Linked DNA regions of Mytilus edulis. The protein of the gene in region 2 binds, or shares a complex with, the protein of the main gene of each other region. Links are inferred from orthologs where the notes say so. Each region holds a gene or a part of one and is shown on either strand. Other genes may lie near its edges.

The links.
Region 1: the proteins of probable cytosolic iron-sulfur protein assembly protein CIAO1 homolog (region 2) and cytosolic iron-sulfur assembly component 2B-like are in contact, whole or in part, in a crystal structure (PDB 6TBN), measured with the Drosophila melanogaster proteins. The link is inferred for Mytilus edulis from reciprocal best matches to the Drosophila melanogaster genes Ciao1 and galla-2. Residues at the interface, in NP_610996.1 of Drosophila melanogaster: Arg16, Trp18, Arg60, Thr61, Arg63, Phe79, Glu105, Lys107, Arg123, Asp150, Lys152, Tyr168, Asn170, Ser195, Thr196, Trp198, Thr216, Ser248, Gly249, Gln250, His251, Ser252, Arg253, Tyr256, Gly272, Asp273, Asp274, Arg277, Glu299, Gln304; in NP_648416.1 of Drosophila melanogaster: Ser74, Pro106, Lys109, Thr111, Ala124, Lys127, Gln128, Asp131, Lys132, Glu133, Arg134, Ala136, Ala137, Glu140.

The regions. Positions count from the first base shown.
Region 1 is NC_092348.1:64,360,908-64,373,605, forward strand, and holds the start of cytosolic iron-sulfur assembly component 2B-like, read right to left. Parts: upstream 4,846-12,698; 5' UTR 4,797-4,845; coding exon 4,673-4,796; intron 3,400-4,672; coding exon 3,320-3,399; intron 2,502-3,319; coding exon 2,376-2,501; intron 1,871-2,375; coding exon 1,825-1,870; intron 584-1,824; coding exon 474-583; 3' UTR 1-473. Other genes in the region: cytochrome b5-like, read left to right, coding at 4,919-5,026, 8,663-8,699, 9,580-9,671, 12,465-12,491. UniProt on the Drosophila melanogaster protein: Component of the crb-galla-Xpd (CGX) complex which is essential for proper mitotic chromosome segregation in early embryos. The CGX complex is also required for cell proliferation in developing wing disks.
Region 2 is NC_092345.1:69,382,738-69,395,222, reverse strand, and holds the start of probable cytosolic iron-sulfur protein assembly protein CIAO1 homolog, read right to left. Parts: upstream 4,570-12,485; 5' UTR 4,516-4,569; exon of another isoform or gene 4,463-4,515; intron 2,242-4,462; 5' UTR 2,241-2,241; coding exon 1,847-2,240; intron 82-1,846; coding exon 1-81. Other genes in the region: ras suppressor protein 1-like, read left to right, coding at 4,793-4,898, 8,615-8,665, 9,641-9,708, 10,629-10,681. UniProt on the Drosophila melanogaster protein: Essential component of the cytosolic iron-sulfur (Fe/S) protein assembly machinery. Required for the maturation of extramitochondrial Fe/S proteins.

The DNA.
Region 1 (12,698 bases), on a different chromosome or scaffold from region 2:
ACTGTTGATCAATTTATTTATATATATATTCATAATAATTATAAATAACCAAAAATGTATTAACGTGTCTTAGGTATAACTATTTTTTATAACTGTACCAAAAGAGAAATGGGCTAATAACATTTTTGGGCTATTCTCTACTTTAAAATGTTGAGGTAGCCAGGCATTGGTAAAGATTATGTCTTAATTATTTTTTCAAGCAATTAAACAGAAAGTCGGCCTTATATTGGAGGTGTTAAAACTTTATCTATGAGTAAAAGTCCTGGGCTTTCTTCAAGCTTTTACACATTATGCAAGTTGTCCAGTTGTAAATCAAGTCTATCTGTTTTGATTGTTATTATTTATATTCAAAAGTCATTCAGCCATTCTGCATTAAAGATGGTCCTTGAACAACAGTTATAAAACAGTTTTGAGCCCAGGGCCTGAAAAGTGATGAAAATGCATGGATTTGGAATCAATTAGAAAGTAAATCTCTATCCGAGTTTTCTTTTCTGGTCATCCAAACACTGATTAACAACTTCTATCAAATGACTGTTCTCCAAAGCTGCAGCTACTCTTTCTTTGTCTGCTAATTGTTTGTTTACTGAAAATATAAAATCAATTATTGTAAAAGTACCATCTTATATCGACAGGGGTTCAAATGAGTGTGGGTCAAAGGTCGACGAACAGTCTTTACTATGAAGATTCTAAATCTACATAACAAAGGAAGATGACGTTCATTTTTTATACTGTTATGGGACTGTTGACTTTATAGAAAGGTCCTTTTACTTCAAAATTGAAATGGTCCCAAATAGTTCATTACTTAAAGAGAGAGTTAAACAACTGCAGTCAGTTGTACGAACATGTTATTAGCCTAATGTGTCATTAAGTCTTCATTAGCCTAATGTATCACAAGGGCTTAATGAAGACTTAACAAGTGAAACTGCGAGCTACTGCTCACTGATGATACCCCGCCGCAAGTGGATAATATTAATAGTGTAAAAATATGCAAGTGTTCGGTAAACAGGAAGTTGTCGAGTGATGAACTGAAAACGCATCACACGGTATAGCTGACTTATATAAATCCTGAAACCAAATTTCAGAAATCCTTGTATTGTAGTTCCTGAGAAAAATGTGACGAAAATTTTCAACTTGGCTATCATGTGTAAAATCAGACAAGTGTTCGGTAAACAGGAAGTTGTCAAGTGATGAATCTGAAAACGCATCACATATATAAATGTTGATACCAAATTACAGAAAGGGTGGATGTGTAGTTCCTGAGAAAAATGTGACGAAAGTTTCATGGGACGGACTGACTGACGGACGGACTGATGGACTGACAGACAGAGGTAAAACAGTATACCCCCCCTTTTTTAAAGCGGGGGTATAATAAAGCGGGGGTATAATAAAGCGGGGGTATAATTACATGTTCGTACAACCGGCTGCAGACATTTTATTTATATTATAGATGAAAAATTATTATATATGTTCTTTTAAAACATATAGAACTTTGAACACAAAAAATTCCAATTGAAAATGGTAGATAACAAAATGTTCAGACAGAAAATGGTATTTGACTTTTTTCTGATTCCAGTAATATTGGTGACAAGTTTCAATTTGTTTAAGAATGTTTGGCAATAGATAAAAGCAAACAAACGCTTTTAGTGCATCATTTTTCAAACACACCAAAATATCAAGATCTTGTGAATAGCAGCAGCAAGACTGGATTAAACAAATTTATACAATAATAACTGAATGCTTAGAATTTCCTTGGTGAGCCTATGTCTATATACTTTACATTTGAAATTAGAAATTTTTAACATCAACATTTTATAACAAAGTTACCTGCTTCTTCCGATGCATGTGCTCCAGGTGTTATTGAAACATCTACCTGCAATTAAAAAATTACATGATCTGACAGGAGTGAAAATCTTGTTGATAATTTTTGCAATTTTTCTATTTATCATTGTTTTTCAGATATGACAATCAGATGCTCCACAGGGCACAGCTTTATATGACTGCTAAGGTGAAACCCTGAACTGAGATATACTGTTTAGCTATTAATATTTTAATTATTTTTGTCTTTAATATCTTTTAAGAGAGCAGCAAAATATTCATATGAACCCAAAGCACAAAGTGTATTATTTTCAAATAAAAACTTCTGATACTTTTCTTTTTCTATCAGCTAAATCATTGATACATTACAAGAAACTCATAAAAATGCTATATAAGGTCTTGCAATGCTCTTGCTCCAATAAAAAATCCTCAGCTTACCAATAACAAGGATTTGTATAGTATAGTCTTACTATACAAATCCTTGCCAATAACTTTTTTGAAATTAAGTTTTTTTATTTTTAAGGATGTTTTTCTGTGGCTTTATGTTACATTTTTGATACCTTGAATCTTGGTGGCAGAGATCTTAGAAGTTTAACCCGAATAGACAATCCAATCAATGTTGCCATACTACAGTGTGGAATTGTGGGTGTAAATTCTATCGTCACTTTGTTAGCATCATCATCTACCTGAAAGAAAAATTCACATAACATTATGGTGCATATAATTCTAATGAAATGTACAACTTCTATTCACGGCTGTCTGCTCTTTGGTCGGGTTGTTGTCTCTATGACATATTCTCCATTTCCATTCTCAATTTAATCAATCTGAATAAAGTTAGATATTTCACTATAGCTCTTTTGAGATTTTTCCTGCGACTTGTCTGAAAACATCCAATATGGGAAATCAAGCACTGATTAACATGATTAATGATGTAATGTATTTATAATTATTATTTCCACTTGCAGACTCAAAACAGTCTCTTGAAAATATATCTTGAAGTTATGATTTTATTTCATCTGATTTTAATTTTCTTTTAGATATCTCTTGAATTCAAATGAGGGTTACGGACATTCAATTGCCAATACACTATATTTCTTTTTAGTTCTTAAATTTGTTTATGTTCCCACTCAAGGTGAGTCTTTTTTACAGCAGATACTTTATAAAAGGTTAAATAATGAACAATGTAGCTCAGAAGACAGTTATCCAGAAACACATCACATTATGCTTGTAAGATTAAAATAAATGACATTACTAGCATCTACTGTAAATTCAGTAATTATTGCATGCATTTATTATTGCAATTTTTGTCAATTTAGACTACAATGTGATTTTATTTTTTTGCCATATTGAGAAAAATCCTGTTTAATTTAAGGAAAAATTTCAAAATGCGAATTTAAATTATTGCTATTATAACCCTGTCCCATTTTTCACAATAATAAAATCATCGCAATAATTTCTGAATTTACAGTAATCTTTTTTATTCAGTTGATAGTAATATACTTACAATAACTTTGCTTTGCTCAACAACATTCAATTCCTCTAATGTCAGTGGATGTTCAGGGTCATTTATAACACGGATCAAATCTGAAATAAACATATTATTTAACTATATGCTACAGTTATGGTAAAGATAATTGATTAAAGTATCAATCAGAAATAAAAAATAAAGACTTAGAAATTTGCCCCCTGGCTCAATATGTGAATAGATATAAGAAGCTGTGGTATCAGTGCCAATGAGATCACTGTCCATCCAAGTCACAATTTGTAAAAGTAAACCATTATAGGTCAAAGAACGGTCTTCAACACAGAACTTTCGCTCACAATGAATGACAAGCTTTAAAGGGCCTCAAATATGACTAGTGTTAAACCATTCAAATGGTGAAGTATTGTCAACTATTAGAAGTTGATCAAGAAAGTAATTTATAAATATATATCTTTATGCTTTCAAAGGCATCAACTGTCATGGATTGATTTCATGGGTTTTACAATTGCTTTAGCGACTATAATCATGATAGTGAATGTGTATAGTTGTGAAACTTAAACCTAAACTACAACAAAGTATAACAAAAGAGATGATTTACATTTTCCCATAGTGACCTTTCCATATATCTGTGGAGCATGATAATCATATGATGAGCCTATATATCTCCCAATAGATACAATATCTCAGTGCTTGCAATTGGAACATCATTAGATAGTTAAGAGGCATTGTCACTTCCTACCAAATTATATGTTGAGGAAGAGGTTGAAAAAAATATGCTGATGTATTGCACAATTTATTCTGTATTCAGGGAATTGTGATAATAGTATTACGGAACAAACTTTATTTCCGGTTTATGCGGCAAAATGACAATTATAAAGACGCTTGATGAATTTAGATAGAGCAGAGATACATGGGATCCTATATATGGTAAATGATGTCATAAAGGTGCACATAATCAATTGACAATCTTTTCCAATGAAGGACATAACTGGAAGTAGAAAGTGGTCTATTGAGATATTTTGTATTGTAATGGCATGATAGGGGTTGGTAGTGTTTTTGATGTGTAAGGCAATATGTCGAAGTTAGGAGTCAAAGAAAAAAATTATAATGGCCTTTCAAGACGTCATAATCATTTAATTGGCCTAGGCAATATTATGCAGTGTTTAAGCACAGGCACTCGTCTCAAAAAAAAAATCCTATATACCTTTAGAAAAAAAAATCTGAGACGAGTGCCTGTGTGTTTTATAAGGGTGACAAGACAGACCTGGCAATACAGTTTTAATTTAAATGTTTACTAAAGTTGCAGCTTTAGCAAGTGGTACCCATGACATGGTTCTGATTTAGTCAGCTGTCGTATTATTTAGTTTATCTTACCAAAAACTTCTCTTGTATCTATTTTGTCTGTAACACTTTCATCTTCTTCCTCTGGTAAGACCGGTCTCTCAGAACCAACTTCGTATATTGTAGGATTTGCATTGTCTAAATCATTTTGGGACATTTTGAAGTGAATTTCATGCTAATCCGGAAAAATATTAAGGGGAGTAACTCTGTTCGTCCGTTTCGAATTTTATAAGTTTTCTTTCATTTCCGGGACATTCACGAAATCTCGACTTTTGCAAAATGACGAAAGTTTTCAGAGAAGCCGACGTAAAGAACAACACTGATAAAACAAAGACTCTTATGATCATTCATGATAATGTTTATGATGTTTCAAAGTTTCTTGAAGAGGTAAGTTATGATGGGCAGATGGTTTTAAAGACTTGACATTCACATTGGGACACATAATCATAAAGGTCAAGATGTAGGACGTACGAAACAAAAATTGAAAGGATAAATTATGGACAAATGAAAGAAATTCATCATTCGGCATGTTCAAAGCTAATACATGATAATAATTTTATATTAAAATGTAAATTTTATTGTACTATAATATTCCTGTGTATAATTTATGAATGGGTAAAACTGCAGTTCTGTATCAATCCACATTTTAACCTTTATATACAAGTACCATATGACATCATACTCAACACACTTAAACAAATCTTTCACAATTTAATTCTAAGTTAAAATAGCTATATTTTCCTGTAAAGTTCTTGGTCCCATTTACTATGTCCCAATTTTGATGTTAACAAAATAAAAATTAAAACAAAAATCAACAAAATGTTTAGACTCCCCTTACCGGTGCTTGATAACGAAATAAAGGGTCTAAAATTGAACATTGAATTCTTGGGGTTCTATGTTATGCTGAATCTAACCATGTATTTAGATTTTGGATATTGGACCATAAATAGGTAAATGTCTAATTTAAATTTTTTTGGAAAGATAAGAACTTGTTTTAAATCTTTACTCTAAAGGCACTGGCCTCCCTAACAACACTACAGGTTAGCTACCTTTACTAAATGTTTTCACACTGAAATATAGTTCCCTATAGTTCTCATGTATGTGCACATAATACACATATAAACTGAAAAAAATGGGTATATTTTTGGAGCAGTTCATTTAAGAATGTATATCATTAAAGTTTGTTGATGTGCAGGCTTATTTTAAAACATTTTGATTAGGTTATTGAGTATTGATACAATACTCATATGATTGACAACTGGCATTATCAACAAACAATAAGAGACAAGGTAGACCTTTAATTATAATGCCCCACCTCCTAAACTGTCAATCAAATTGACCACATTACCTTTCAACATCTGTGTTACATAATTATACTCTAATATATATGCAACTCAATATACAAATATTTGACCTCATAATTGAATACACAAATGTGTATATTAGATGTTTGATACATTTATTATTTCCTATTTCTTTTTATCTACATTATGATTATCAGGGATCTCCATGGCCTGTTTAACGATGGCGCCCCGCCATCGTTCAAATGTCTTGCGCCATCGTCAAATGACTTGCTCCATCGTTAAATTGTCTTGCGCCATCGTTAAATTGTCTTCCGCCATCGTTCAAAACTTCATCGTTTTTTTGTAGCCCGACGCCATTTTTTTTATCAATTATAATCAAATGCATGTCATTGCATAACCCTTAGGCTTTTTATGTTATAATCCAATACAGTTCTAACGCCTGGGGGGTATCCGGATTAAGATCGCTAATCACTTGTACCTGAGCTTGTACAGGTAGATCAACAAACCAGACAGGAGAATACTATCTGAGGATAGACGATCCATTTGTCGAATTAACCAAATAAGTTTCAGCAAATGATTATGATAATTTAGATTAAATTAATAAATAATCCAGTTACAAAGAAAACAGTTGAACAAGTCGAACACATGCTTTATTTTGACTTACGCAATCAGCATCCTCCTTTTTAAAGAAGTACAAAATAAGACGCAAAACAGTAAATATTATTTCATCGCAAATAACTTGAGTACTACTGTAACGATAATTTAGAATTACTTTAAAAGTTTAAAAGTAAAAATTTAAATATTTCCTGTAAAGAAATATCGTATCGTAATTCCGAATTCATTTCGTATATTACAATCAAATTGATACATCCGCGTTTCCGGTTACTTTTTTAGACTCGAAAGATGCGGCATGTTGCACAGCATCAATTTGCAAGATAAAGTCATTAAAAACCTTTTCATTTGTCAACATTTGCTTTATAAATCTCTTTAACCTTTTACATAACCCGTACGAATCGTTTTGTTGTTGCTGCAAATCAGCCATACCGGTAATGGGTTCTGAATTTGACAGTGTCCATGAAAAATAAGCTCCACATCATATGATTTTTAACCCCCATAACAATTACCAAAAATACAAAAAATCTACATGGGGACCTCCATGACAGCTTTTGGTCATTCTCAACTAAGGGGGGACCATGAAGACTTGGCATTTGAATGATTAAAAACGGCAATAAATGAAAATATTGATACTTCTAATTCTATAATGAAAATTCAAATAAATATAATTTAAATAAGCAATTGAATTAGCATGTTCACCATTCCCTGTATGGAAGAATAAAATACTTCCGATCGCGCTACACTTTACAGCGTAGTCACGGTTTGTAATGGTGAAAGTTCCTCCATCGTTCAATTTTCATCCATGGAGATCCCTGTGATTACATAAAGTGATTCTGTAAATTATGTCTGAAAGATAAATAATGGAATAACAAGATCTTATAAAAAAAAAAATGAAATATGAATATGAATATATATATATATATATATATAAGATATTCAAGTAAGGCCTATAATTTTCTTAATGAATTTCCAATAAACATCTGTAGACTGTAATTAATCAACAATTTAGATTGGTTCCCTAATTTTTTTTATCAGGATTTGGCTTGAAACAGTTTTAAAATTTTAAAACTTTTAATTATAACAAACCATTGTTTATTTAATTATTAGTTTATTCCCCATCAATCCACATTTCAATAAAAAAAAGTTTTTTTAATTTGTTTACATTGAAAAAGTACATTTTCAATGCCCTGTGTTGAAAAATACTTTAAATATTGAGACACTCTACGACTTTTAATCTTTCAATGTCATATAACCTATGTTTCACAAAACAACATTTTTAGATTATTTTTGTTGACACTTTAATGTTCTTAGCTGTTGGTCTCGATTTTATGTTCAGCACAGGCAACATTATTTGGATAAGATATAAACTGCAGTTTAAATAAAATTGTGCAAGTTAAGAGAGCCGTATTATTTAATTTGAGCTCATTTTATCCTCATACTGGAAAAACTCTTCTCCTTCTAAAGACCTGCTGTAAATGCAATTTTCTCCAATAGTGCTTTATTAATGATCATTTTCCCTCACCATACCTTAATATGAAATTATTCAAACTACTCTTCTAATCTTTCCATGAGTGATTTCCATCACTTTGATTAAGTTTAAGTTCTTAGACCACATTCATTCTGTGTCAGAAACCCATGTTGTGTCAACTATTTAATCACAATCCAAATTCAGAGCTGTATCAAGCTTAAATGTTGTGTCCAACTGTTCATACTTGCCCCAACTGTTCAGGGTTCGACCTCTGCGGTCGTATAAAGCTGCACCCTGCAGAGCATCTGGTTTCATTTTAGTTCATTTAAATGTTTTGGAGTTTTGTATTACGTCCATTTTCACTGAACTAGTACAGATTTTTATTTAGATGATGCCTACCTCTTGATTTGGAATTTTCTTGCTGCATTGAAGACCCATCGGTGGCCTTTGGCTGTTATCTGCTGTTTTGTCCGGTTGTTGTCTCTATGGCATATTCCCCATTTCCATTCTCAATTTTGAAAGTGATGAGTGTACTTGGGATAATATACTCTCTATTCATGTAATTTGTTATTTTAATGAGTAACCACAATCGTAAATAAATAAATATGATTTTAATATTAGTTTCCTGTATTTCAGCATCCTGGTGGAGAAGAAGTATTATTAGAGCAATCAGGTATTAGAAAAATCATCTATATTTAATAATTGAAAATGAAATAACTCCACAAGCACTTGAATTTAAAATAATCACTAATTGGAGAAACTAAGCAGAAATATTTTGTATTATTTCACTTACTTAGGCCAAATAAAAAAGTATGTGTGGTTCCAGTTACATCTGAAAAAAAGTTAGGGTAAGTAGGTAGGGATTTTTTTTTTACATTGAGTCTATGGGAGCAACATTCTGACTTTAACAGTGCTTAATGAAAAAAGACAAAAAAATCTTTAGAGTAGGCTATTTTTGAGGCGAAAAAGTAGGGAAGGTAGGTTTACTGGAGTCACACATATGTTTTTATTTGGCCTTATTTTGAATGAAACTTATACAGATGGAAGATATAGAGACTGGGACAGAGACATTTTAATTTTGGGATCAATAGATCTGAGGTCAAATTCACTGCTTAATAGTGGCCCCTGTCAACCGATTGAACTCTTTGAGGAGTCAAAGATACACCTGTCTTCTCCATAAGTTAACATTTCTATTTGAATGAAAGAAGATGTGGGACAAATGTCAATCAGATGCTGTATCTTAGTCTGCCATACATGTATATCAAATTAAAGTTAGATTTAGATAGGTTACTATGCAGTTGTAGTTACAATAGCTTGAAACTTAATATTCATCTTTTAACGTAATTATATACATGTACGCCAAGTTAATGTTTCAAACCATATTTCAAATTAAAAATATGATAGGGTAACCAGGCATATTTTATTGACATTTGATTGTTTTTTGTTGTTTGACTCATTCCATACAACAGATAAAATCATATCAACGTATTCCCTAATATGCAAATCATATAAGAATTACTGACCTAAAACTTTTGATTCATTGTTAATTTTAGGTCGAGATGCCACTGAAGCATTTGAGGATGTTGGTCACTCTACTGACGCTAGAGATCTTATGAAAGATTACGTTATAGGAACACTACATGAGGTTTGTTTAATGAAATAGTGAAGACCAAGGTTTTTTTGGCAATTTTTGTTTAAGAATTAAGGGGGCATTATGTTTTCTGATCTATGTCTTATTCTGTTATATATCAGATTAGAGTTAGAATAAGATAGTTAAATTTGAATTTGTTGTCACAACAACTTGAAACTTGGTATTCATCTTCATTATGATGTTAATTCTTAATTTAATTATATATGCTAAGTTAAGATTTCAAATTGAAAATGTGATAGGATTAATGGGCATGGTGTTTAATGGACATATATTTGATTGTTTTTGTTGCTTGACTGTCATACCATACAACAGATAATTTTTCAACATGATTAAGAGAGAAAGCAATACAAAAAATACCTTATTTTTAACACTGTGACATATACACATGAAATTAACAATATAATCATTTAAAATTTAGATCATTCTAAGGGGTCATCCATAATTGTCAACCATTTTCCAAAGTGTACAAAACGTACACTTGGGGGGAGGGGGTTAAAAAATCAACATTTTTACCGTACGCTTTTTTTTTATATTTGCGGAATTTATTTCGTTTCCGTAGGGAAAGTCGATGTATAAAATCAAGAATTGGCTTGGGTGTGTTTCTCCTCTTGTTTCTTCTTTATTATTTTCACTTGATGATATTTATTTCAATATTATAATTCTCCTCAATCCGGATTGAACGAAAAAAGATCAAGTCATATGAATAATTCAAAAATGTGAATAGTAAAACTATTTAAACAAAAAGTTTGCAAGCATTTCTCAGTACCCCCGATTGTCAATTTCACCTGATTTATTATAGATCGTTATCGTTTCACTCTGTTTAATAAACAAAATCGACGGAAACACTAAATTCTTTGAATGTTGTGATTTTGACAAGACGCAATTTTGTGAAAATATTTTAAACTGGTCCTTCGATTAATTTCCTCGTAAATAAAGGCAACAGTAGTATACGGCTGTTCAAACTCATAAATCCATGGACAAAAAACAAAATCGGGGTAACAAACTAAAACTGAGGGAAACGCATTAAATATAAGAGGAGAACAACGACACAACACTACAATGTAACACACACAGAAACGGACCAAGCATCAGACAAAATCCCATGAGAATAACAAATATAACATCAAAACCAAATACATGAATTTGGGATAGACAAGTACCGTGACACGTCTTAATTATCGCAATGTGAATTTACACTCAAAAATAAGGGAAAACAAACGATGCAACGTTAAAATGTAACACACACAGAAACGAACTATAATATAACAGTGGCCATATTCCTGACTTGGTACAGGACATTTTTAAAGGAAAAAATGGTGGGTTGAACCTGGTTTTGTGGCATGCCAAACCTCCCTCTTTTATAGCCATGTGAAATATAACATTAAAATGACAACGCAACACCACAGGACTACAATATAAATAAATTGGAGAACACAATTGACAAAGAAACACACGAACAACAGCCAACAAAAGGCAACAAGTTCAAAATTTTAATGCATTCCAAAATAGTAAATCAGTAAACCGTTAGTAAACTTATTTTTCTTAGTATAAGCCTCCTTTAATTAGGAACACCTCCATATGAAGTCTAACCTTAATATCTAATATATGTACACGTTACAGTATATATACATAAACCATAATAGTGCCATGAATGGCATATTTACAGGGACCTTTTAAATAGAAATACAGGCGGGAAATTTAAAAACTTAAAATGTTTTAAAACATTAATACACTTTTATTGATTGTTGTCTTGAGCTCTGATTCCATCAACAACTGTCAGTCCATACTTTACCAATGCAATATAACCATGCATTTCCTTTTCTTTGATTCTTAACAAAATTTAAGTGCACTTTTGTTAATATTTTGCATGCTCTAGGTGCCCTTTTTCATTGGAGTTACCATTCCCACTGTGTGATAGGGGAAACACTATTCTTTGTACTCTTTATTCTGACAAAACACAAGCATCACAGATAGATGTCATCAAATAAAACAGTCAGATATGTTTTAGTTTAATATTTTCAATGCAAATTTTTATATTAAACTTAAATATGATAAACAAGATCTTGTTTTTATTAAGAATGATTGATTCTTCTCTTGAAATCTGAAAATGGTTGATGTACACTTTTTGAGGGAGGGTGGGGGGTCTGAAAAAGTGTACGTTTTGTACACTTTGGAAAATGGTTGACAATTATGGATGACCCCTAAATATTAATCTAGTAAGATATCTCTGTCTGAATCAAATGTTGGACGGGGTCATGTGAAATGTTCAGTGGCAAATATTGCATGCATATTAGGGTGAGAAGGTTTTGATGTATATGAATGTAAACCTTGCTTTGTACAGCAAATTGTATTAGATTTTAATGTTAAACTTATGTGAGAGATCTATGTATATCATTATATTTTCATAGGTATACATGTACAGATATATAAAAAAAAAAAGGTATAATTTGGGACAAAAATTCTTGATGCTTTTGTTTGGAATGTTCATGAAGTGATACAGAATATTGATGAAAATGTGATTGGCAAACATTCATGGGGGGGGGGGGGGGGGTCCTGATCCCACAATCCCGGCCTTAAAACTACGAAATCCTGATGTCCTGAACCTAAATAAATTAAAATCAAGACATCACCAAATTCGAAAAAAAGAATTCAAGGATCCCAAAAGGGTCAATCCCGAAATCCTGAGCTTAAAAACACCCAATCCCAGAGTCCTGATAAAGGCCCTATCCCCCTCATTCATAAACTGTCAAAACTTAAAATAATAAAATAATATTTGTTTTCTTGCAGGATGACAGGAAATCCATACCAATAAAGGTAAGTTAATTTAATGTGTTATGTGTTTATATCGCCAACAACAATCCAACTATACACTACTTGGGTCCCAAAGTAACTTTGTATAGTAGTTGATAAATATGGCCTATTTGATTTAGTTCTTAGCTGTGTACAAATAAGACAATACTTATTAAAGCTTATTTACAACAAACATATATCTTAAATTAAACAAAATTTGCAATGTATTTA
Region 2 (12,485 bases):
TTGGATGCCAAGTCACATGTTTTACATCTTGCGTATGGGAACTTATCACACTTGCACATTCAAAATCTTCATCTTCTGTTACTAAAACACAATAAAAACATATTATTATAATAATTTGTATGACAATGTCAGTATACATTGTAGTTCTTACTGTCTAATACCTCTGCAATCTTCTGTTACTAAAACACAATAAAAACAATATTATTATAATTATTTGTATGACAATATAGTTCTTACTGTTTAATACCTCTGCAATTGGTGAATATCTTGATTTTACCACTTATTTTATATAAAAGTCATGATTTCTATATTATTCAATTAGTGATTTCCCCTAAAGAAAAATGTTGGTGGGTAGATGTCACAAAATCTATTTAATCTCAGGAAAATCAAATCTAAAATTGTTTATATCAGCATTAAAATGAATTTAAACAAGAGGCTGTCACAACGACAGCAAACCGGATTTATTAACATTTATTTGTGTCCTGGCAATATCACAAGAACCATTACTGATGAATGATGAAAGTGAAAATCGTCAATATCAAATTTGACCTCCATTTTGTCATCAGTATCAACATATTAAAATTTGAAAAGCTTAGATTGAATGGTTTTTGAGTAAATGTAACAACGTGAATGGAAACGCCATTTTACGATCTTTCAAGAACCATAACTCCTGAACGGTAAAAGTCAAAATCGTCATAATTGAACTTGACCTCTATTTTGTCATCAGTAACAACATATTAAAATTTCAAAAGCTTTGGTTGAATGGTTCATGAGAAAATGCACGGACACGACTGGAAACACCATTTTTCAATCTTTCAAGAACCATAACTCCTGAACGGTAAAAGTCAAAATTGTCATAATTGAACTTGACCTCTATTTTGTCATCAGTAACAACATATTAAAATTTCAAAAGCTTTGGTTGAATGGTTCATGAGAAAATGCACGGACACGACTGGAAACACCATTTTTCAATCTTTCAAGAACCATAACTCCTGAACGGTAAAGGTCAAAATCGTCATAATTAAACTTGACCTCCATTTTGTCATCAGTAACAACATATTAAAATTTGGGAAGCTTTGGAAGAACAGTTCATGCTTAAATGCACGGACATGACTGGAAACTCCATTTTTCAATCTTACAAGAACCATAACTCCTGAACAGTAAAAGTCAAAATCGCCATTATTGAACTTGACCTTCATTTAGTTGTCAGTAACAACATATTAAAATTTTAAAAGCTTTGGTTGAATGGGTCATGAGTTAATGCACGGACAACATTTGATTGCCGCCCGCCCGTACATCCCCAAATCAATAACCGACATTTTTGTCACAAAAATCCGGTTAAAAACACAAATAGCTCAAATGACATTGAAAATAACACATATATACAAAACGCAAAAAATATTCAGGACTCAAAAAATTTCAATTGCTTGATTAATATATTTTCCCACCATATTCATGATATTCATCATCTACATTTGTTAAATATATTTTTTATATGAAAAATTTATCCAAACATACTGACATACATGACATGTACTTTATTTTGAAAATGAAAAAAAAATAGAATCAAAATACATTATTTAATGCAATCTCAGTGTGTGATGTTTTTTATACACTGCTTACAAACATGTTATACTGCATCAATTTAACCTTTTTTTATGTTGTAAAATAATTGTACAACATGACATGATAACACAAAGATATAAAATAGTCATCACTAGATAAATACATTTATAATTGCAATTCCTTTTTAATATGCAATAGTAGCATGGAGTTCTAGTGTATAAACTATATCTTATATTTTATTTGAAATACATGTACATGTAAGTACACATTAGTTTTATACCTTCCCAAATCCAAACACTTTTGTCTCTACTGCAGGTTGCAAGGAGACTACCAGTACATGACCAGGATACAGCCTTTACTTCATTTTCATGGCCCTCCAATGTTGCAATACATTCAAACTCTCCTTCTTTTCTGCTCCATATACAAACTGTAGCATCAAAACTTGCACTAGCCAAATAACTCCCACAAGGGGACCATCCAACTGCACGTATTGTTCTCTGATGTCCTTCAGATAAAATAGATTTGCAGACCCAGTTGTCTCCCTCTTTGCCCCAGATCCTTATAACTTTATCCCCACCACTAGATGCCAGTAATGTGCCAGAAGGATTCCATGCCACACACCATGCTCTGTCACTGTGACCATCAAAACTACACACTTCTTTAAGTTGAGCCATTCTGTAATAAACAGGAAAAGTATATGACTAGAACCGAAATAAAATTCAACATACTGTACATGTAGTTTAAGGTACAAAGATTCAAAAAATGATTTTTTTTTTTACTATAGATGAATATTTGCATGTTTGTCACCACTGCCAGCGAATATGCCTCAAATTCCCCTCTATGCTGTGGTATTTGACATTTTTTATATTCCATGTTTACCCTCACGAGTCTCTTCCCGTCAAAATTATTCTAAACCTTATCACCTTATCCAGATTATTCAGGCATGATTAAATTGATAAAGGTAATCCTAACCAGATGCTTCGCAGGGTGCAGCTTTATACGACCGCAGAGGTCAAACCCTGTACAGTTGGGGCAAGTCTGGACACAACATTCAAGCTTGATACAGCTCTGAATTTGGATTGTGATTAAATAGTTGACACATCATAGGTTTCTGACACAGAATGAGTGTGGTCTATTAAATGTAAAAAAATTTTTTTACCTTTTATGGTCTAATATCCAAAATCTAAATACATGGCCATGGATTGATTCTGCATATTAAATAATCCCAAGAATTCAATTTTTGATGAAATCAAACAAAGTTAAATTTTGGACCCTTTTGACCTCATTGTGGACCAATTTGATAACAGGGCCCAAAAATCAAAATACATGGTTAGATTTAGCATATCAAAGAACTCCATAAATTCAATTTTCGTTAAAATCAAACAAAGTTTAAACAAAGTTTGATTTTGGAGCCCAATTTGAACCAACTTGAAAACCGGGCCCATAATCAAGTTTAATTCTGGACCCTTGGGACCTCATGTGGACCAATTTAAAAACGTGGATCAAATTCAAAAAACTTAATTCACGGTTAGATTCAAGAATTTAAGAATAAAACCCCTTTTAAATTGGTCAAGAAATAAGTAATTTATACAAAGTATTAGAAAAGTGCTGTTTTTGGCCCCTTTGTGGCCCCTAATTCCTACACCGTTTGGGCCATAACCCCACAATTAATCCCAACCTTCCTTTAGTGGTATTAAACCTTCTGATAAAAATTTAAAGAGATCTATTCATTAAAACTAAAGTTATTGTCCGGAAACTAAATGCCTCTTCAGACGACGACCAGACAACGACAACATGATAGCATAATATGACGCGTCGTATAAAAATGTGCACAAATTTTAGACAACAAAACTACTGCACAGCATGCACCCCCAATCTTGTGATTGTTCTATGAAGTATGTGTTGCGTATATAAAGTGAAGGTATCAGGTCCATTCGCGCCCAATATATTTTCGCAACCCTACACGGTCGCACCTCACATGTTCGCACCCGAAGTCCGTTCGCACCCAATTTGTATTAGAATTTCAGTTGAATTATTAGATATTTTTTTATATGTATATACCAAATAATTTTAGTTTCTTGAATAAAATTTGAGGGAATTATAATATATTTTTTTTTTATTAATTTGATGATTAATTACTAAATGTTAATTATGTATGATTACTGCTAATTGGTATTTATACACAGCTAATTTGGTGTTATTTTTTAGTGTATAAAAATCATGATAGTTGTTTTAAGTCTTTGCTTTGATGTAAATAACTGCATACAAATGTATATATTTAGCTTGGTATGACAAAACTTTCAAGATTTTAAATAAAAAACATGAAATATAATTGTTTTTAACAGCTTGTCTCCTCTGATCTCATTTGTGTTTGGACAAGTATGACAATATGATGGATTAATATTTATAGCAATACACTTTTCAAAACTCGTTTACAAATTATTGAACACAAAACCAATACTCGATCATTATTTAAAAAAAAAAAAAGATATGAAGATACAATGTACGATTTGTATTTCATAGTATATGATAGTTTAAATAAAATTTGGGCGTGAACATGTAGGGTGCCAACGTGAATAGGCGCGAATGTGAATAATAAGACATCTTTACAAATGACCGATTTAATAATGGAATGACAATGACACATACATGTAGATACCATGGCATTACATAAAGACTGTGCTAATGTGTAAAAGTACAAGTATAATTCCCACGGTAGTCTCTACTTATTTACAAAATTAGACATAGATAATAAACATGTTCATGGATTACTACTATTACTAGTAAAAAAAGGTGTCCCTTCAGCTGAACAGAGAGTTTCAATAACATATATTTGGTGTAATTAAACAGATAAACATTTTTCATTATGTTATTGAGGGGTTGTTGCGAAAAATACCAGTCTAATACTCATATCAGTCAAGTAATTCTATCCTTTTCAATATTATTTACATGAAAAGTTGTATCTACATGGGCGCTGACATCTTGAAAGTAGTTTTATATATTAATACGCAAAGATGGAAAAGTTACATATTTGTAATGAATTTAAGTAACTTTTTTTAATCAATCACCTTCTTTTTGATAGTTTTGATAACATTATACTTTTAGGATTTAGAATCAGATATTTATCACAGGACTATTTTGGCGTCGTATTGAAACGGAAGCTGCTGCTAGGCACTTCCTTATTTTTGCTTTTCCTAAATAGGACATATTTTGGGTGTCGACAATCATGGCAGCAAAAGCAAAGAAGTTTATAGAGGAGTGTAAGGATACCAAAAACAATGAACTGGAAATTGTTGATAAGGGCATCAATACCTTGGAAATTCCAGGATTGTGTATGTTTGCATGTAGAAATGGGGGGGATAAGAAATAAACAAACAACAGTCAACACCATGGCTGAAAGATAAAAGCACAGGAATCTTACATATCTTGATCTCATACCTACCGCTAACCCAGTTTTAATGGTATCCAGTCGTTCCGGCCCCAAACCGATCCGGCCCCAAGTCAATCCGGCCCAAAGTCGATCCGGCCCAAGTCGATCCGGCCCACGTCGATCCGGCCCCAAGTCGATCCGGCCCCATAATAAAATATTACGATTATTAAGGGTATATAAATTGTCTCTAACTGTCGCCTGGTGAGATTAATAGTTTAAGGTAAAACTTTATGATACCATATGGCCTAGGTGTTGATTGACTTTTATTTTTATGACCTAAGATCAGTTCCTCAGATATGGTAATGAAATAGCACCTGTACCTTCTTGAATATACAGACGATCTGCTAAGTGAACATCACAGCATGAATCTGTCCATTTTTGTGTGAAGGTAACATTCAAAGTCAGGTGACATATCTAACTGTTCCTTTTGTAATTAAGATTAATTAACATAACGGTCAAAATAGTCTGTTTTAATATGTCCGTGGAATTCTCAGATCTGCAGTGACATCACAACATGTAACTGACCAATCAATGATTAGCATTTGTGTTATGTAAACATTATTGAGAGGTGATGCGGATAAGAATCCTCTAGATTTTCCATAGACTTTAATGCAAATTAATTTAATTGATATATATTGTTACCAGTTGAAAATAGTAATTTTACTCTTTTAATATTGTTAAAGACACTATATAATATCTCCAATTTGATTTTTAACGTACTATAAACTCTGGTTAAAAAATAATCTGCAATATAAATAATCAGTGATCACCTTCAAATAGATGAAAAATCTAGAGGAATCCTGATGGCATCACCCCCTGAAAAATGTAAATGCCAGGATGTCCGGATCTGAGAATCTTCAGCTTTAGAAGAATGTAACAAACTTTGTATTTATAAACGATATAAAGTAGTATTTGGTTTTGAAAGATACTTAAATTTTCATTGTAATGTATCTATATTAACAAAATTGTGTAGCGGCACACTTAGATTAAATGTTGAAGTTGGTCGTTATCTGAATACTCAAAGAGAAAATAGAATTTGTATATGTTGCAAAATGAATGTTTTGGAAGACGAATATCATTTTGTTTTATCATGTCCAACGTATAGATCTGTGCGCATAGAATTTTATATTTATTCTACTATTCTTGGCCAAATCGGCATAAGTTAGATAATTTATTCTAAATCTCTGACAGTAAAACTATATGCATTTATTCAAATGCAGCCGCTTGGAAAATTAGATCACATATAATGTCATAATATTATTGTATACTCTCAGTCTGTAACTTCTGTTCTCTGCTGCCTTTTATTTGTTATATGTTGTATATATTTTCGTGTGCCATAGCATGTGAAAATAAATTATGCATATGACTACAGTAATAATGATGCCGATCTGTTAAATCAATAAACTGATAATGCCCCCAGTTTATCAAATCTCGTATCTAATTAGTCGATAACGCAAAATCACGATCGATCTTGCACATGCGCATTGCTTCCCTGAACTAGAGTATTAACTAGATTTTGGAGGAATTTTTCACAAACTTTAACAGTATAAATGGAATTTGAAAAAAGTGTCCGATCGATGATGGATGACAACAGGTCAGTGATGTATTGGAGTACCAGTTAACGAACTATTTTACATCCATACGAAAATTAGTGTTATTGTGTCTGTTTGTATCGCAGTTTCTACATTTTTGAATTATGAAGTTATTTTCCATGATAACTTTTACTTTGAATTTCATGGCGATTTTTATTTTATTCAGTTCACACACAGAATAGCTAAATAAATATTTACAGTCCAATGGACCTATAAAATTTAACGCATAATAATGACTTATTTAATCAAATCATTAGTCTATAATTGGTTTGTTTATTCATCAGTTGTCTGATGATTGTGAACTAAGGTAATGCCATTTGTAATCACTTAATTCAATCCAATACTGATCAATTAAAGTTACGTAATCTGTTTTTTCAACAAGGTCTTTCAGTATAGTTTGATCATGGAAGTAATATTACTACTTCCATGGTTTGATCTTCTGGTTGGTGTATATTATAATAATTATTTGTATTTTTTTTTTTCAGGTTACATCATAGGCTTCTTTAACATATAAAAATATTCTATTCTATAACACTTTTTTTTTGTAACATCGGATATAGTCATTATATTTTTCTTATTTTGACAATATTTTGAATAGTGTGTAGATAAAAAAAAGTCATATGAGTATCCATTATTCTTTATTGCAAGAAAACAACAAAACAATGACATTGAATGCACGTTTTCACTCTCTAAAATATAATATCAGCACTCTTTTATAGAAAGGATTCGGCAAATCAAACATTTCTCAATTTTAGAAATTTTAAGAACTTAAAAAGAAAAACAAAGTTTATATGTATCAGCTTGGGGATCGGCTTGTACCGTTCATGTATGTAACTACTTGTTATTATATGTTACACAAGATGAAAGACTTGTTAGGATCACAGTCAATTGAAAGAAAATGCTAATTAATGTTGATTAATGTTGATGTCTGAATTCTTTTATATACGTTTTAATATAATTATACCCAATAATCTTGAAAACTTGTAATGAAGACATAATCAACCTAGTTGTTTTATACTCATCTAAAGGAAATATTTTTCAAAGGCCTTTTTTGCTTTCTTCACCGTACACCTTTAACATTATAATAAAAATAATAAACATTTATGAATTACAATTAATATATATTTATTTTTATTCCTTAGAAATATTTTTTTTTATTGGGGCCGGATCGACGTGGGGCCGGATCGACGTGGGGCCGGATCGACGTGGGACGGATCGACTTGGGCCGGATAGACGTGGGGCCGGATCGACCCGAAAGCGTTTTAATTAGCGTTGGGCATTTGTTCTCCTGTGTACAGCATTCCTGAGTACTAGCACTTTACTGTAAAATCCTGCAATGACCACGATGGAGGAAAGCCAACACAAACATTGAAGCAGTCTAAATTATACATATACCCTTTGGTTTTCTTTTTTTTATTTACTTAGTCTTTTTTGTGTACCTTTAAAACCTTATACTTATATATTTCTTAAATTCACATACACATACATGACATATATCTGCCTATTACGGTTAAAACAAATTATTTGGCATATCCAATTTCTCAACACTTTGCTTGGCTGCAGATGGACAACGTTACAGCTGCTAACTGCCATTTTCAAATCAAATCAAATCAAAGTTTTATTTATTGTCAATACATAGTAAACAAAGTAACACAAGCTTTTCTCTGGTTCTGGCTTTATGTGAATTTTCTATATCTTTATCATATGAAATGGTGTATGATTGCCAATTAGCCAACTCTCGACGATCAATGACACAGAAATTAACAACTATAGGTCACTGCAAAGCCCATACTGCATAGTCAGCTATAAAAGGCCCCAAAATGACAATGTGTGATACAGGCCTTTCCTGTCAGGTTTTTTTTTTCTTCATCTTTATGTTTTAAGATTGTTTGAAATATTTAGATGTTGGTATACATGTACATCAATGAGACAGCAACCCAGCAACACAAATAACCAAATGACTTCACAATCCAAAAGTCAAATTTGGGAAGGCTTGTATCTAAAATTATTTTCTTTTATTTTGCAGATGATTTAAAGCATTTAACCAGACTTACAATGCCACACAATAAGATAACAGGTAAGTTTATCACAAGTACTGATCAAATCTTGTCAAAGATATTCACTCAGTGAAACTTGAAAAATATGATCAAAGCATAAACTATAAAATAGCAATTATACTAACTATCATGACTATTTGAGTCAATGTAATTCAATGCAATTCAAATGATTTATCCATATATAATCCAATAGATGGAATGTCACCATAGAAAAAGACAACATAAAATGTATCTTTCAGACACATTGTAATACATTAAATCACGTGTGTGTGGTGACTTAGTTTAAGTGTTAAGCATGCGTTCTGATAGCCTACAGGAACTGATAAATATACAATTTAAGAACAGTTTAACATTCTTAAATGTGCTTATTCCATATTTTAATAATGTAAAGAGATCACACTAAACATGAAAGCAGAATTATACAATACTTGAATGGACAACAACTGATCTAATACCACTATGGCCTATGATGATAATTATAATACTTTATTTCTGTAAATTGAAAAAAGAAGATTTGGTATGACTGCCAATGAGACAGCTCTCCACAAGAGACCAAAATGACACAGAAATTAACAATCATTGGTCACTGTACGGCCTTCAACAATGAGTAAATCCCATACCTCATAGTCATGATAGTCAGCTATAAAAGGCCCTGAAATAACAATTCAAACGAGAAAACTAATGGCCTATAAATTTATGTACAAAAAATGAATGAAAAACAAATATGTAACACATAAACAAATGACAACCACTGAATTACAGGTTCCTGACTTGGGACAGACACATACATAGAGAATGTGGCGGGGTTAAGCATGTTAGCCAATTCAGCTTATGGATCACAACTTGAATAATTAACCATTACTTGATATATGCTTTTTCTGGAGAACAAAACACTGCATGTTTTACACCAAATGTATGCCTATAGTTTATATAGACTTTGATAATAAAGATATACACCAAGAAATAACAATTACTCTTATTACCTGTTACTTTAGTGGTACCTGATGTTATATCTGAACTAGTGAACTTGGAGCATTTGAATCTCTTCAATAACCACATCAAGGTAAGATCATTATACAATTATGGCCCCCTGAGGCAGTGTATATCCAAATCCCGAGGGGAACAACCCTTACTCTGGTTGACAATTATGGATATTCACCGACTCAATGGGCCATCTTTGTTTTATTATGCTGAACAAACAAATTACAATAAAAATTAAGATATTGTAACAGATTGTGAAAACACTTACATTTTTAGAAGCTTTTGTGTTTATTGACATTTCGCATATATGACAGTATATGTACAACAAATGTGGATTCTTTCTGTAAAATATAGATTTTGTCAACACAAGATGAATTTCCATGTCTTGTTTGGTCAAGTTTCTTCATCACTTTATGGACTTCTTTAAACCTGGCCGTTATTGTTCTTTCATCTGACGTTAATTGACGTCATAAGTTAAAGAGAGTTAACTCCTGACCATTGAGGTACGACTAGGGTTATTCAACAAGATATAATATGGTTGTTCAATGGAGGCTTCAATTTGTCAGGGTTATTCTCAGACATAATAGGGTTGTTTGCTGAAGGCTTCAATTTGTTGGGTGTATTCACACGAAGCTTCTGATAATTTTTGGAAAAGCATTGAAATTAAACTATGACACATGATTCTATATTAGCCAATGAGATATTTACTATATAATGTAAGGTATAAATTACTTATTGCTTTAAATTTATCATTGTGAAAACATTGCATATACATTTGAACATGTACATAATAAACATTTTTAAGAAAAAAAAAAAAAAAAAATGAAGATGAAATCAATGTGTCTTTTCTGGTTTTTATTGTGTTATTGGGTAGCTGTCTTGTTGACCTTTACCCTATATTTCTTTTAATCAAAACACTACTATAACATTTGTTGAAAACCAAGAACAAGTACCAAAGTGATATAAAGTGGAATTTAATTTTTTTTTTATCTTTAATTGCAGGAATTATCTACATCTATCAGCTCTTTAATGAAGTTAAAATTATTGAATTTAGGGTAAGTTTACAGAAACCAAAAAAGAATTAATAAGCAGGAAGAAAAATACAGGGTATACATGTATAAGTTAAAATAATTATATGAGACAAAAAAAGCATAGAACAGAAAAGTATGTATCAAAAAAATACTAGTGTTATTATAAGAAGTTCTAGGTAAACAAACACTCCATAACTATGTACTACTTACATTTTTAAGAAAACATACCTTTCATTATTATATAGGTCTACCTTGCATAATATACATATTTAACGACTAATCATCATGACGTCTAAATTTTATGAAAATAAGATACATTTACTAACACTCAAAAAACAACAACATCAAAATGTATGAATCAAGGAAAGAGATGGTGAATTCATCAATTAGACAAACCCAACAATACAACCAAACCTAAAAAGACAAAGTACAACATTATCCAAATTTCATCATCATATGGAAACACTCAATCACCTTGAATCTAAAGAACTTATGAATGAATTCAACAGAATTCCAACAGTCTGCTATCGAAACATCCAATTCTTCAACAAAAAAAAACTACTTTGCTATAGCTCCATGTATAAATGATGCAGACTTTAAGCTAAGATGAGGTTTCTTCAAAAATGATGTTATTTTTAAGACAATCTGACTTTCTTAATTTAAAGTTTGTCATTCAGCATGTTCAGTAAAAGAGTAAATGTAGCAAAATTATCCTTTAAAGTGTTTTTATGCCCCGTCTACGATAGTAGTAGGGGCATTATGTTTTCTGGTCTGTGCGTCCGTTCGTTCGTCTGTTCGTTCGTCTGTTCGTTCGTCCGTTCGTCCGTCTGTCCCATGTCAGGTTAAAGTTTTTGGTCGAGGTAGTTTATGATGAAGTTATAGTTGCATCCATTTGTAACTTTACATACATAGTCATTATAATAGGGAATTTCTAAAAAGTACCTCAAATTTAGGTTTTGGTCCTCATTTCATGGTTCATTGAACATGAAAATGAGATTGTGTGAAACAGCTCTTTGCCAGGTTAAAGTTTTTGGTCAAGGTAGTTTTTGATGAAGTTGAAGTCCAATCAACTTGAAACTTAGTACACATGTTCCTTATGATATGATCTTTCTAATTTAAATGCCAAATTAGAGTTTTGACCCCAATTTTACGGTTCACTGATAGAAAATGATAGTGCAAATTTCAGGTTAAAGTTTTTGGCTTCAGGTTAAAGTTTTTGGTCAAGGTAGTTTTTGATGAAGTTGAAGTCCAATCAACTTGAAACTTAGTATACATGTGCCCTATGATATGATCTTTCTAATTTAAATGCCAAATTAGAGTTTTGACCCCAATTTTACGGTTCACTGAACATAGAAAATGATAGTGCAAATTTCAGGTTAAAGTTTTTGGCTTCAGGTTAAAGTTTTTGGTCAAGGTAGTTTTTGATGAAGTTGAAGTCCAATCAACTTGAAACTTAGTATGCATGTGCCCTATGATATGATCTTTCTAATTTAAATGCCAAATTAGAGTTTTGACCCCAATTTTACGGTTCACTGAACATAGAAAATGATAGTGCAAATTTCAGGTTAAAGTTTTTGGTCAAGGTAGTTTTTGATGAAGTTGAAGTCCAATCAACTTGAAACTTAGTATACATGTGCCCTATGATATGATCTTTCTAATTTAAATGCCAAATTAGAGTTTTGACCCCAATTTTACGGTTCACTGAACATAGAAAATGATAGTGCAAATTTCAGGTTAAAGTTTTTGGCTTCAGGTTAAAGTTTTTGGTCAAGGTAGTTTTTGATGAAGTTGAAGTCCAATCAACTTGAAACTTAGTATACATGTGCCC